3 linked regions of the Nothobranchius furzeri genome follow. The protein of the gene in region 1 interacts with the protein of each later gene in a pairwise test. Links are inferred from orthologs where the notes say so. Each region holds a gene or a part of one and is shown in the gene's direction. Other genes may lie near its edges. The genes, in order: tmem79b, rnf8 and tnmd.

The links.
Region 2: the proteins of tmem79b (region 1) and rnf8 interact in binary tests that used the Homo sapiens proteins (3 or more experiments, as listed by UniProt). The two-hybrid records come from large-scale screens. The link is inferred for Nothobranchius furzeri from reciprocal best matches to the Homo sapiens genes TMEM79 and RNF8.
Region 3: the proteins of tmem79b (region 1) and tnmd interact in binary tests that used the Homo sapiens proteins (3 or more experiments, as listed by UniProt). The two-hybrid records come from large-scale screens. The link is inferred for Nothobranchius furzeri from reciprocal best matches to the Homo sapiens genes TMEM79 and TNMD.

The regions. Positions count from the first base shown.
Region 1 is NC_091745.1:66,341,513-66,345,264, forward strand, and holds the start of tmem79b (transmembrane protein 79), read left to right. Parts: upstream 1-1,515; 5' UTR 1,516-1,682; intron 1,683-3,752.
Region 2 is NC_091742.1:8,359,013-8,362,764, forward strand, and holds the start of rnf8 (E3 ubiquitin-protein ligase rnf8), read left to right. Parts: upstream 1-897; 5' UTR 898-1,028; coding exon 1,029-1,151; intron 1,152-1,317; coding exon 1,318-1,446; intron 1,447-1,589; coding exon 1,590-2,032; intron 2,033-2,240; coding exon 2,241-2,448; intron 2,449-2,878; coding exon 2,879-2,941; intron 2,942-3,076; coding exon 3,077-3,166; intron 3,167-3,241; coding exon 3,242-3,349; intron 3,350-3,435; coding exon 3,436-3,640; coding exon of another isoform or gene 3,641-3,647; intron 3,648-3,752. Other genes in the region: aida (axin interactor, dorsalization-associated protein), read right to left, coding at 212-318. UniProt on the Homo sapiens protein: E3 ubiquitin-protein ligase that plays a key role in DNA damage signaling via 2 distinct roles: by mediating the 'Lys-63'-linked ubiquitination of histones H2A and H2AX and promoting the recruitment of DNA repair proteins at double-strand breaks (DSBs) sites, and by catalyzing 'Lys-48'-linked ubiquitination to remove target proteins from DNA damage sites.
Region 3 is NC_091741.1:85,815,532-85,819,183, reverse strand, and holds part of tnmd (tenomodulin), read left to right. Parts: intron 1-2,292; coding exon 2,293-2,502; 3' UTR 2,503-3,652. UniProt on the Homo sapiens protein: May be an angiogenesis inhibitor.

The DNA.
Region 1 (3,752 bases):
AGAAAAAATGTCCAAGAAAAGACAAAACTTACATATCGTCAACAGAGCTACTCCAACATGCAGCCACCCAGAGCAGATCAGTTCCGAAAAGTTCAGTCATCATGCCGCTGGGTTGATCCCCAAGGCCGCCTACCTAGGGCCTATCATCAGGTGTCAGGTAACACCAGGGCTGACTCTACCGAATTTGGTACCCCAGGCTTGATCCTTCGCGCTCCCCGTCCTTGCCACATGCACGCACGCACACACTGCACCCCCCACAAACACATACACACACAGACTCGCAATGATCATACATTTTAAACTCTCATTTAAATTAGACTTTCATTGAAATCACTTTTAGCTTCTTCTACTGCTTTAATAAACTCCCTTTTCTCTTCCTGCAGATTCTCTCTGAGAAGTTGAATATTTAATTCCTCTTTGAGCAGAAATTGTCTATCTAATCTAATGCTGTAATTCTGTCTTTTTCTGCTCAAACTCTGATTTCTGGTTCTCCAGATGAATGTTTTCAGCTTTTAAACATTTCTTCACATCATTTAGAGTCTGTCGTTTCTCCGCTATGTCCTGTTCAAAATTTTCTTTAGAGTTTAAAAACTAATTTCTGGTTTTCCAGGTGAATGTGTCATGTTCTGTGTCCCCTTGGTCCCCAGCCCCCTCCTGTTCTCCCTCAGGTTCTCCTCATGTGTCTTCTTGTGTTCCCCAGCTCCCTCTAGGCTTTCCTCATGTTTTCCTCCTCCCTTGTAATTCCCATTTGTTTGCATTAGTCCTCCTCACCCCTGTAGTTAATCGAGCAGCCTATTTGCCTGCACTTTTGAAGCTGACGGGGGTCAGCTTCACAGAGCTCCCACAGCTGAGGAGGGAAAGAGGAGGTAAACAGCGAGTGGATCACAAGGACTGAACTGATGTTTTTGAGCAAAACTGCGGTAAAAATGGCTGTTTGTCCTCATTATCAAGTGTTTGTATTTGGGTTTGTGGTTAAATTATGAAAATGTTTGAAGTGGATGCTCGGGGAATGTCTGAATATTAGTGAGTTTAAGAAACAGTGCATTTTTTTTCATGGTCAGTAGGTGAATATTGTTTATTTAATAATTTTTTATAGGTTAGATATTGTTGTGAAGCTCTTGGCTATGATTGTATGATATGTGAAGAGTATTGTTGAGATTGATAGTATTCGATTATGATTGGAAGCCCAATTAGTAAATGACATTAACTTAAAAGGAAGGGGTGGGTCATGTTTTACTTCCATCTTCTCCTTTTCAGACATGGAAATTTATTATTTTATTCAAAGTTATGATTTCTCCATTTTATTATTTTTTTAGTTGCATCTTTCAATTATGTGTGAAAATGTTTGCTTATTTTGTCCTTTTTACACGTTTGAAAGCTTTAAACTAAACTAAACGAAACTAAAGATTTTTCTGCGTAATTAAGGAATTTATTGAACATCCATCCTGCTCAGAATGGAAGACTGAAACATTTCCCCACTGAGGGACAATAATAATGCTCAGTTTCAATAAACGCTGTTTGCTTTTCAGAGGCTTTCTGATCACCTGGGAGGATTTTCTGTCGGCAGGCATTTAACCAATACTGGCCCTTTAAGCAGGCTTTCTTATTTACCTGAGAGACCACACCTGACGTTGACTTCCGCAAAATTTCACAACAGAATTTCCAGGTGGCAGAAGTTAGAGGTGAGAACTCAGGTCCAGGAAAAAAAACAAAACAAGAACCTTAAATAAAACTGGAGAAAGAAGGACCGAGGACCAGAACCAGGTACTGGACCCAGATGTGTTTGTTTGTGACGCTTTCCATGATGTTAGCATGTTAGCTCGTCTCTGGTCAACAGGTGATTCCAGGTGATCGCGTGTCCCCAATGACGTCAGATTGTAAACACTGTCTTAAAATTCTTTAAAAGAATCAAGATAGATGTTAAAAAAAGCAACAACCCAGGAAGCCATGATGTCTTTGACAGTGCCTCTGGTATCTTTATCGAAAACAAAATAAAACTTGATTAGGGCGGTCAGTCAAGAAAATATTAGTATTTATTCACGATTAATCGCGGGAGTGTTTAACCAATTCCAACATGGTACTCATAAATTCAGCATAATGTGACATATTGATGGCTTCTGATGCAGGAGCAGACAAATACCTCATATGTAAATGTAGGCCTATTCAAAACAACAATAAACAGCCTATGTTGCAGCTAAAGTTCATGGAGCTGAAGTTTCTTTCTATTTCTAATTTCCATTTAGAAAAATGGCTAAAGAACCATTTCAACTGATTCTAGCAGAATGTGTCCAGATTTTAGTTTGTGGTTGGTGAAACCATCCTTTATTAGAGCAGACAGCTCAAAACCACAGATTATTCTGAGACTGTGTACTGGGTTGACTAACCCTAATCCAGTTTGTGATTTATGAAAGTTTAATATAGAGCATTTCCAGCACTTCTTTTGCATCTGGAATTTATTGAAACAGGTCCTGCTCAAAAAGTGCAAAAGTCTATATATATATATATATATATATATATATATATATATATATATATATATATTTTTTTTTTTATCTTGCAAAGCAAGACAAGAAAGCAGTGAAGAGCTTGTCAAGTTCATAGAGATGCAGGGGAAACTCTTAATTGTGAATAATTGTCCCAGGCCTTACCTATACGTTACTCAAAAGCTTTAGGTGAAATCCAAACAGGCAGGTTGTGGCCCCACGTACAGTGAGGAGGTGGACTGATGAGTGTGAGGAGGTTCTCAAGGACTGCTTCAACACCACGGTGTGGACAGATCTCTGTGATCCACATGGGGAAGACATTAATGCCATCACAGATTGCATCACGGACTACATAAACTTCTGTTTTGAGAACACCGTTCCCTCCAGGACGGTGTGGTGCTCCGCGAACACCAAACCATGGATCACCCCCAACATCAAAACTCTCTTAAAGGAGAAAAAGAGAGCCTTCAAATCTGGGGACAAGGAGTAGCTGAGAACCGTTCAGAAGGAGCTGAGGAGGAAGATTAGGGAGGCCAGCTACAATAGGAAAATGGAGAAGCAAAACACCCCACTCACAGGGGGAGGGGGACCTGAAGTGGCCCAACTACCTAAACCTGTATTTCAATAGGTTTGACCAAGCACCCACCCCTTCCCCCACACAGCCTCATTCAAATAACTCGACACCTGGAAGACCCCCTACAACTACAGCCCTTCACACCTCTGGCTCCTCCATTCGCACCATCGTGCATCCCCCAGGACTCGGCCCCCTCCCCAGTACAGAGCCCCACTGCCCACTCCTCTCCTTTACAACAGGCCAGGTGACGAGAGAGCAGATGCAGATCAAAGCGAAAAAAGCTGCTGGTCCTGACAATATTAGCTCCAGTCTCCTTAAATCCTGCGCAGATGAACTGAGTGGAGTTATAGAGCATGTCTTCAACCTGAGCCTCAAGCTGAGGGTGGTACCTCAGCTCTGGAAGACCTCCTGTGTGGTTCCAGTGCCGAAGACACGAAAAGCTAATGAGCTCAGTAGCTACCGGCCGGTGGCTCTCACATCCCACCTGATGAAGACACTGGAGAGACTGATCCTGGGACACCTCCGGTCTACTGTGGGACCTTCGACGTATCCATTGCAGTTTGCTTACCGACCAGTGGTTGGAGTAGAAGGTCTCACAACACAGACAGGAAGGAAGGGCCAGAGCAGGCTCCACCTCCTGAGGAGACTACGGTCTTTTGGGGTGATGGGGACACTCCTGAAGCCCTTCTACGACT
Region 2 (3,752 bases), on another chromosome or scaffold:
TGCAACAATGCCACATCACGTCATGGATGGGAAGGGTTTATTTACTGCTGTGGGGGCTGACTGACAGCTCCGAGGCTAACTTCTGCAGGTTTAAGAGCTGACAAGCTTTAAGACAGCAAAAAAATAAAAAGCTAAACAAGCCGTCCTCGCTGTTCCAGATGTTTACACTCAATCGTACAAAAATAAGACACACATGTTGAATGTAACTCACATTTGGTACTCGTCTATAGCCTCTACCAATTGTCCCCACGAGTCAAAGTCTGTGCCTTTCTTGAAACTGGCGTGCCATTTCTGAATAGTCTTGTTGACATCAGACATTTTGGCGGGGCGGATACTCGCGGCGCTCTCAGGGCAGCATAGCCGAGGTGGAGATTTATTTACGCAGCTTCGGCAGCCTGGTTATCTCCCGTCCAGACATACGCGGATAAGACCGGTGACACACGGACCAAGCCCTTTCTGCCTGTTCAACACTGGGACTTCCGGTGCAGACAGGAAGTCCCGCCCCGGGGTTAGGTGCACTCGTTTTAGGGTGCTGGGTTGCCTGACTGAGAACAAATCACAACAACAAAGTGCTCTAATTTGAATTTTCGATAAAAAAAATTCATTGCTTTAAAAAAAATTTAAACTTCATAAAGCAAAAATATATTTAATATATTAAAATATTTATCATCCAAAATACTAGCATTTACTTTTTAACGTTACTTTCATGTTTAAAAATGTCAATAAATAAAGAGTAACGTATCCCAGAAACCTATTCTATTCATACTTTTTTATTTATTTTGCCTTGTTCAAAAGATTTACAACACGTGATACGTGCCGTTATACAAGAAATAATAAATAAAACATTGATATTTATTTTAGCAGTTTCCCGTCGCTTTTATTTCGAAATGAATTGTACCGTTTTCCGGTGTCTCCCGGATCGCTACCGCGTTAGCATGTAGCAGTTATGTGACGGAAGACACACATCGACATATACATATAAGACACAACAACAGCGGAGTGTTTGGCCTGTGACAGAATGGCTTAACATGGATAGTGCAACGGCGGATTCATGTTCGGCTGAGGACGGTGAATGTTCGGACTCGGAGGTCTTGTGTCTGATGAGAGTCGGAAAAAAATCAGACTGGCTTCGTTTGTTCGAAAAGGCAGAGGTACAGTTTGCTAATGTTAGCTTAACTAAAAAAAATCATTTTCAGGATTGTGCTATGTATACATACAATAGGCATGCCATTTTATTCATTAAGTTTTTTCTAACGGCGTAGTGGACCCTGTTTATATGGAAAAACTGTAAATTGACGTTTGTTTTTGACTGCTCAGATCACTGTTGGACGTGGTTTGGATGTCACCTACCAGCTGCTGTCTTCAAGTAGTCCTCTCATGATCTCCAGACTGCACTGTGCCTTCAGACAGATAGAAGACGGTCACTGGACAGTGGTAGACAAAAAGGTAGCCTTATTTCTTGAGCTAACTCTCCTAAAATTGATCTCTAACAGATGATGGGGCTATTATTAACAGCAGCAGCTAATACCAAGTTAAATCTTAGTAAATAAGTTATTATTATTATTATTATTATTAATTATCTTCCACAGAGTCTCAATGGTGTCTGGGTGAACGGAAATCGGATTTCTGCCGATGAACCTTACCTGCTCAAACTTGGAGACTCGATCCGACTTGGAGTTCCTTTATCAGGAACCAAAGTAGAATTTGATTACATCCTCATCCGGCGACTGCTCAGAAACATTCAGCCGTACCTGGCAAAGGCATGTAGAACTTGGGCTAAAGAGCCGCAAGTCTCCAAAAAATCCAAAAGGAAGTTGACTGTGGAGGAAGTCGAGCCTTCTACATCAAAGCCTAAGCTGTACCGCTGCGATTCAGAAGGGAAATCTTTTGCAAAACCCTGTCCTCTGTCTGCGGTGAAATGCCAGCAGCGGCTCAGTAACACACACCTGGAGGAGACGGCATCCAGCACACAAAAACAAGAGCAGCACTCTGATGGATCCAGTGATCCTTGTGAAGTGGACAACCTGCAGAGGTAAAGTGTGACTCCTCGTAAAAAAGGTTCTCAATCAAACCAAAGACACTGCTCCTTTACAAGCTTTTATTTAATACATTTGCTGAATTATGTGTCACATATTCAAACAGACTCCTCTCTACTTTTAATGAAAATAATACTCTTTAGGAGTTGTCCATTCTGATGTTCTGTTGTGTAAAAGTTGTAAATATTAATGTATAACCTGCAGGTACAGCCAGAATCTCCTGCTGTTACGGGAGCAGGTGGATGACACCCAGAAGCAGGTATCATCTCTTGGAGGAGAACCCAGGCGGGCAGATCCTCTCCGACGGGAGCAGGTCCGTGAGCTGCAGGGTCAACTGGAAACCCTTAGAGCCAAAATGTGTCAAATGAAGACTTTAGAGAGAACCTTCAGTAAAACAAGGAGACAGTTGGAGGTCAGGAGTGTTGTTTTTTTTTCTTTTTGAAACATCGTTACATTTTCATTCCCCCAACCCGCAATTGCTTTATTTTACAGCGTTAGTTTAACTTTTAATTCTCCACATTTCAAAATGATTCAGCCATACTTTAAATAATCTTGGTAACGTTGCAAAAAAAAGATCTTAAACATAACAAAACCTGTTAAAGAGCTACATTTCTGCATCATATTCCATATCGATATTAATATTCCAGAGCATATTAATATTGAGCATCTTTTTTGGGGTTTCAAACAAAAGCGCCACATATGGAAAGTAACACGTTCCTCACCCTTCTTGTTCTGACATATGTGAATCAAAAGGTTCATCTGCATTTACAATTAGAAAAATATATATGTCCATAAAAATAAAGTTTCAATTTAAGTGAATCGTCTGTCTTTTATGCGTTTAGGAGCAGAAAACACAGCAGCAAGAGGAGCTAATGAAAAAACAACTTGAAGAGGCTCTTCAGGAAGTAAGAAGGTTCAATTAAACTAATTAAAAGCTGTTAACACATTTAATTTAAACTAACAGTTTTTTAGTTTATTTCTTTAAGTTTTTGATTAAATGTAATAAAAAGTTTTTTTGTGCCTGTTTTTTCAACAAACAGCAAAAGAAAGTGATCGACGAGCTTGCCGACTCTCGAAAAACATTTGAAGAAATCCTCTCTGCGAAAAACAAAGAACTAGAAGAAACAAAGGTGCCTGAAAGACACTTTTTAAAACACACATTTTTACCTTGGTTGTCACTTTGATTCATATTTTTTTTCCTCCAGGAGGAAAAAGAAAAGGCGAAAGCCCAAAAGGAGGAGGTAGTAACACAAGTCACAGAGGTTCTGGAGAACGAGCTCCAGTGCATCATCTGCTCAGAGCTCTTCATCGAGGTAGAGCCAGGAACCTGTTTGGGATCATCTTACTCACAAAAACCCGACTTCACCTGCTGAAATTAAAAAAAAATGTCCCTGTACAGGCGGTCATCCTGAACTGTGCTCACAGCTTCTGCTGTTACTGCATCAAGTTGTGGCGCAAGAAGAAAAACGAGTGTCCCATCTGTAGACAGGCTATCGAGTCCCAGACCCGGTGTCTGGCCCTGGACAACTGCATCAACCGTATGGTGGAGAACCTGAGCCTGGACATGAAGGCCCGGCGGCAGACGCTCATCACTGAAAGGAAAGGTGAGAGGTGTGTTCTCATCATCCACGCCAAACTCATAGAAATGAATCATCCATCTTTGATCTTCACTCATTTATTCTGTTGGAACGTTTCTTTAACCCTTACAGACATTGT
Region 3 (3,652 bases), on another chromosome or scaffold:
AGAAACCCACATGCCAGCACTAAAAGATGCAAAAGGGGAGGTTTTTTGTTTTGTTTTGATTTAAAGCTCTTTAAAATACAAAGCAGGGCATTATAAAGAAACATTATCTCTGCTGTTTTGATCAGCGGATGAATGTGATGAGCTCTGCTCTGAGATTTAATAACACACCCAGGCATGTGCTTCAAGCTCATGAAAAGCGGTGATCAGTGTGTGTGAAATAATACCAACAAGTGTGGAGATTAGAGAAGTCATGCTTTGATTCGCTACATCTTATTGAATGACTGACACAGTTTTCTACTCTGCCGACTCATTCACATCCACTGTCTCATATTATGCACAGAGGGGTGTGTGTGTGTGTGTGTGTGTGTGTGTGTGTGTGTGTGTGTGTGTGTGTGTGTGTGTGTGTGTGTGTGTGTGTGTGTGTGTGTGTGTGTGTGTGTGTGTGTGTGTGTGTGTGTGTGTGTGTGTGTGTGTGTGTGTGTGTGTGTGTGTGTGATGAAATCAGATGCAGCGAGGAGGTAATGGTTTCTACTCCTCATTAATGCTGCCTGTTTGTGAGTGACTGTCTCAGATTTCCCAAGGTGAACTATTCTTATCATGGCAGCTTCCCAGCAGAGACAGCAACTCAGAGCAAGAGTGATTAATATGTAGGCTCCGTTTTTAAAAAGGGTAGCTCTGATTAATTCTCTTTAAGGTACAATGCTGCCTATTGGCTGTTTGTTTTGATGAACGTCATTTGAATAAAATATTTTCCTCATTTTCCGAGCCGCAGCCCCAGACTTGGTTACATCCTGGTTCAGGCTGCGAGGAGGAGATAAGATTATCATTGGTCCATTGACAGCTTTCGTGTTGTTTCCATAACAGATTGTTGCCTGGGAGCTGATGACCTGAAACCTGGCTGGAACAATAAATCATTAAAAGCTTACCAGTGCCTGTCATAGTAATAAATCAAACCCATCTATCCTCGATATCATCTGTTGCAGCGCCTTTCTACGTGTTTTTAAAAATGTCTCACAAGTGTGTAATGTCATTCAGTTTATCAGAGCTCTCATCAAACCTCCTGATTGGTCATTGTTGTATGAAATTCAAAGCAGCTGGCTCCCACATAATAACACAAACAAAATGGCCATGACTGACTGCTCGGTGGCTTGCAGAGTAGATGCGAGAAATCCCCTTATCCCCCCGCCCTGCTCAAGGTGGAGGACTGAAGGGACTTGGCTCTGTTTCCCTCTGGGTCCAGTCCTCTTAAACATTTCCTATTCCCAAAAGTGGCTGTGTTTTGTTCCGCACCACTGCACGTAGCTGAGTCATTGTAAGCATTCCTTGCGCCGGTTTGTTCTGAATTCGAAGGCCGTCCCGGATCCGTGGAGATTAACGAGACCGAGACGGACCGTCTCAGAGGATTCATTTACTAAAAGAGATTGCAATGTTGTCAAAAGCGTGCTGAGGGCAGCCGCTGTCTCAACCCGCACCACCCGTTAAGTGGTACTTTTTCGAACACCATTTGGAGTTGTTCTTGATCAGAGGCATGGCAGTCAGCCCAAAGAGTCAATGAGGGCATGAACCAACCAGCACAATGGAAAAATCCAAGGGCCATTAATTCTACCCAATTTACCTTTCGTTTGGGTTTCATTTGGCTCCTCCATAAATTCAGAGGCAGCCAGCAAGAGCAAATGAAAGAATCCTTCTTAGGCGATCATTACTCTGCTAATTGCTTCAGGAATGTGCCTTGCACTTAAAGTCAAGGTCAGGGGGAGGGCATCAAGACGTGAGGAGCTCTGATTTGAATGCTCTGGTGGAGGAGGGACAGCCGTTTCTAGTGCAGTGTGTGCTGCAGTGGAGGGAGTTAAGAGGTCAGAGATGAAAGAAATAGTTTAATTATGTTTGTAACTAGCAACTCACAGTGTCTCAGACAGAAGATGATGCTGGTAGAGAGGTTGTGGCTGACTTCCCTGAGTAACTGCTAGTCGCGCTACCTCTGGTGTCATGAAAAGGTCAGGGGCGTTACATTTTACTCCTCCGAAGCTCAATTCAGACCTGTCTCTCTCTCTCTCTGTTATCTTGATCTCTGTCAGAGTCATTAAGCATGACACAACTTTGCATTTTCACAGAAATCAGTTCTGATCTTTTCACTCTTGTTTGGTTTTTACATACATCGCACTGACCTAGAACCAAGAGTAGCCTCATCAATTCACGTCATCCCGCTCCTCTTCCTCCTCTCTCCTGCCCTTGCCTCTGGAGGACTGGCATTTGTCATGTGTGTGTGTGATTGCAACCCTGTGTCCTCTGCAGAGGGATGTTGGAATCGAGCTGGATCACCGCCTGGATGACCGCGGCTTCTGCTGTCAGCACTGTCGCCGTGGTTACCGCTACTGTCAACGCTACCACGAGCCCCTGGGTGGATTCAACCCATGGCCATACTACTACCAAGGAGGCCGGGTCATCTGTCAGATCGTGATGCCATGCAACTGGTGGATCGCTCGTATGCTGGGGAGGATCTGATGTTTGTGTCGTCTCTGATGAATATTCCAGAATACCCCCTTTTGAGACCAAAGCAGGGACATGTACTTTGATTTTTTTCTTTTTACCATCAAAAACAAATCAACCAAACAAGGCATTTGAAATGTAATGATGCTTTCCTGAAAGGTACATATACACTAGAGCAGTGGTTCTCAGTCCTGGTTCTGGAGGACCGGTACCCAGCATGTTTTAGTCTTAACCCTGCCTCAACACACCTGATTTCAATCAGCAGGTGATTACCAGGCTTCTGCAGAGCCTGATGAGCTGCTGCAGGTGATTCAACCACTGAATCAAGCGTTGCTGCAGGGAAACAAGTAAAACGTGCTGGATGGCGGCCCTCCAGGACCACTGCATTTTAGTTCAATGTATGTAATAATAATCAAAGTGTATTGGGTATTTTAGCCGCTTACTTCTTTGGCTTGCTTCAATTTTTATCTTACAAGATTTAAAGCTAATATTGTATTAACATGTACATGCCATGTATTTTTTCTTAAATGTGCTATAAGGCGTTTTCAGTTTCCAACAGAGCATAACCTGATCTATGTTTACTGGCATTTTCAGACAGCAAAACATTGTTTGTTGTTAGTTAAAGTCTAAACATGCAACATGGTTTCATGAGGAGAAATCAAACCTGCCACTCCATCGAATCCCAAAGAGCAATCCAGAATGGAGATCTAATTGGATATCTGTCACTGAAAGGAGGGCTGCAGGGTTATAACTGTTGATTTACCTTATGTAGAGAGTCGTAGCTGAGGTCCAAGGAGGTGAAGATGTTCATTTGTGGAGTTTCCATGATGTGCAGCCAAATCATTGAAGAACTTTACATTCCTCACCCAACACCATAATTAAATTTCTATATTTTTAGAAGTTCCCCTCAAGAATAGTTGCTACATGCTTACAGAAGAACGACAACATGACCAATTATCACATAATATTTAGCAAACCTCGACTGCAAACTGCCGTTCAAGATGGGGGCAAAACAAATATTTCTGAGTAGGGCCTTTGGAATCAGACGTTCAACCAAGATATTGTAAACGTAGTCCGCCAGAAGCAGGAATTGATGTAGGTGGTGAGGCAACAAGTCAGTCTTATATGCTACCTGAAAATGTCTTTAAGTTCTGTTTAAATGGTA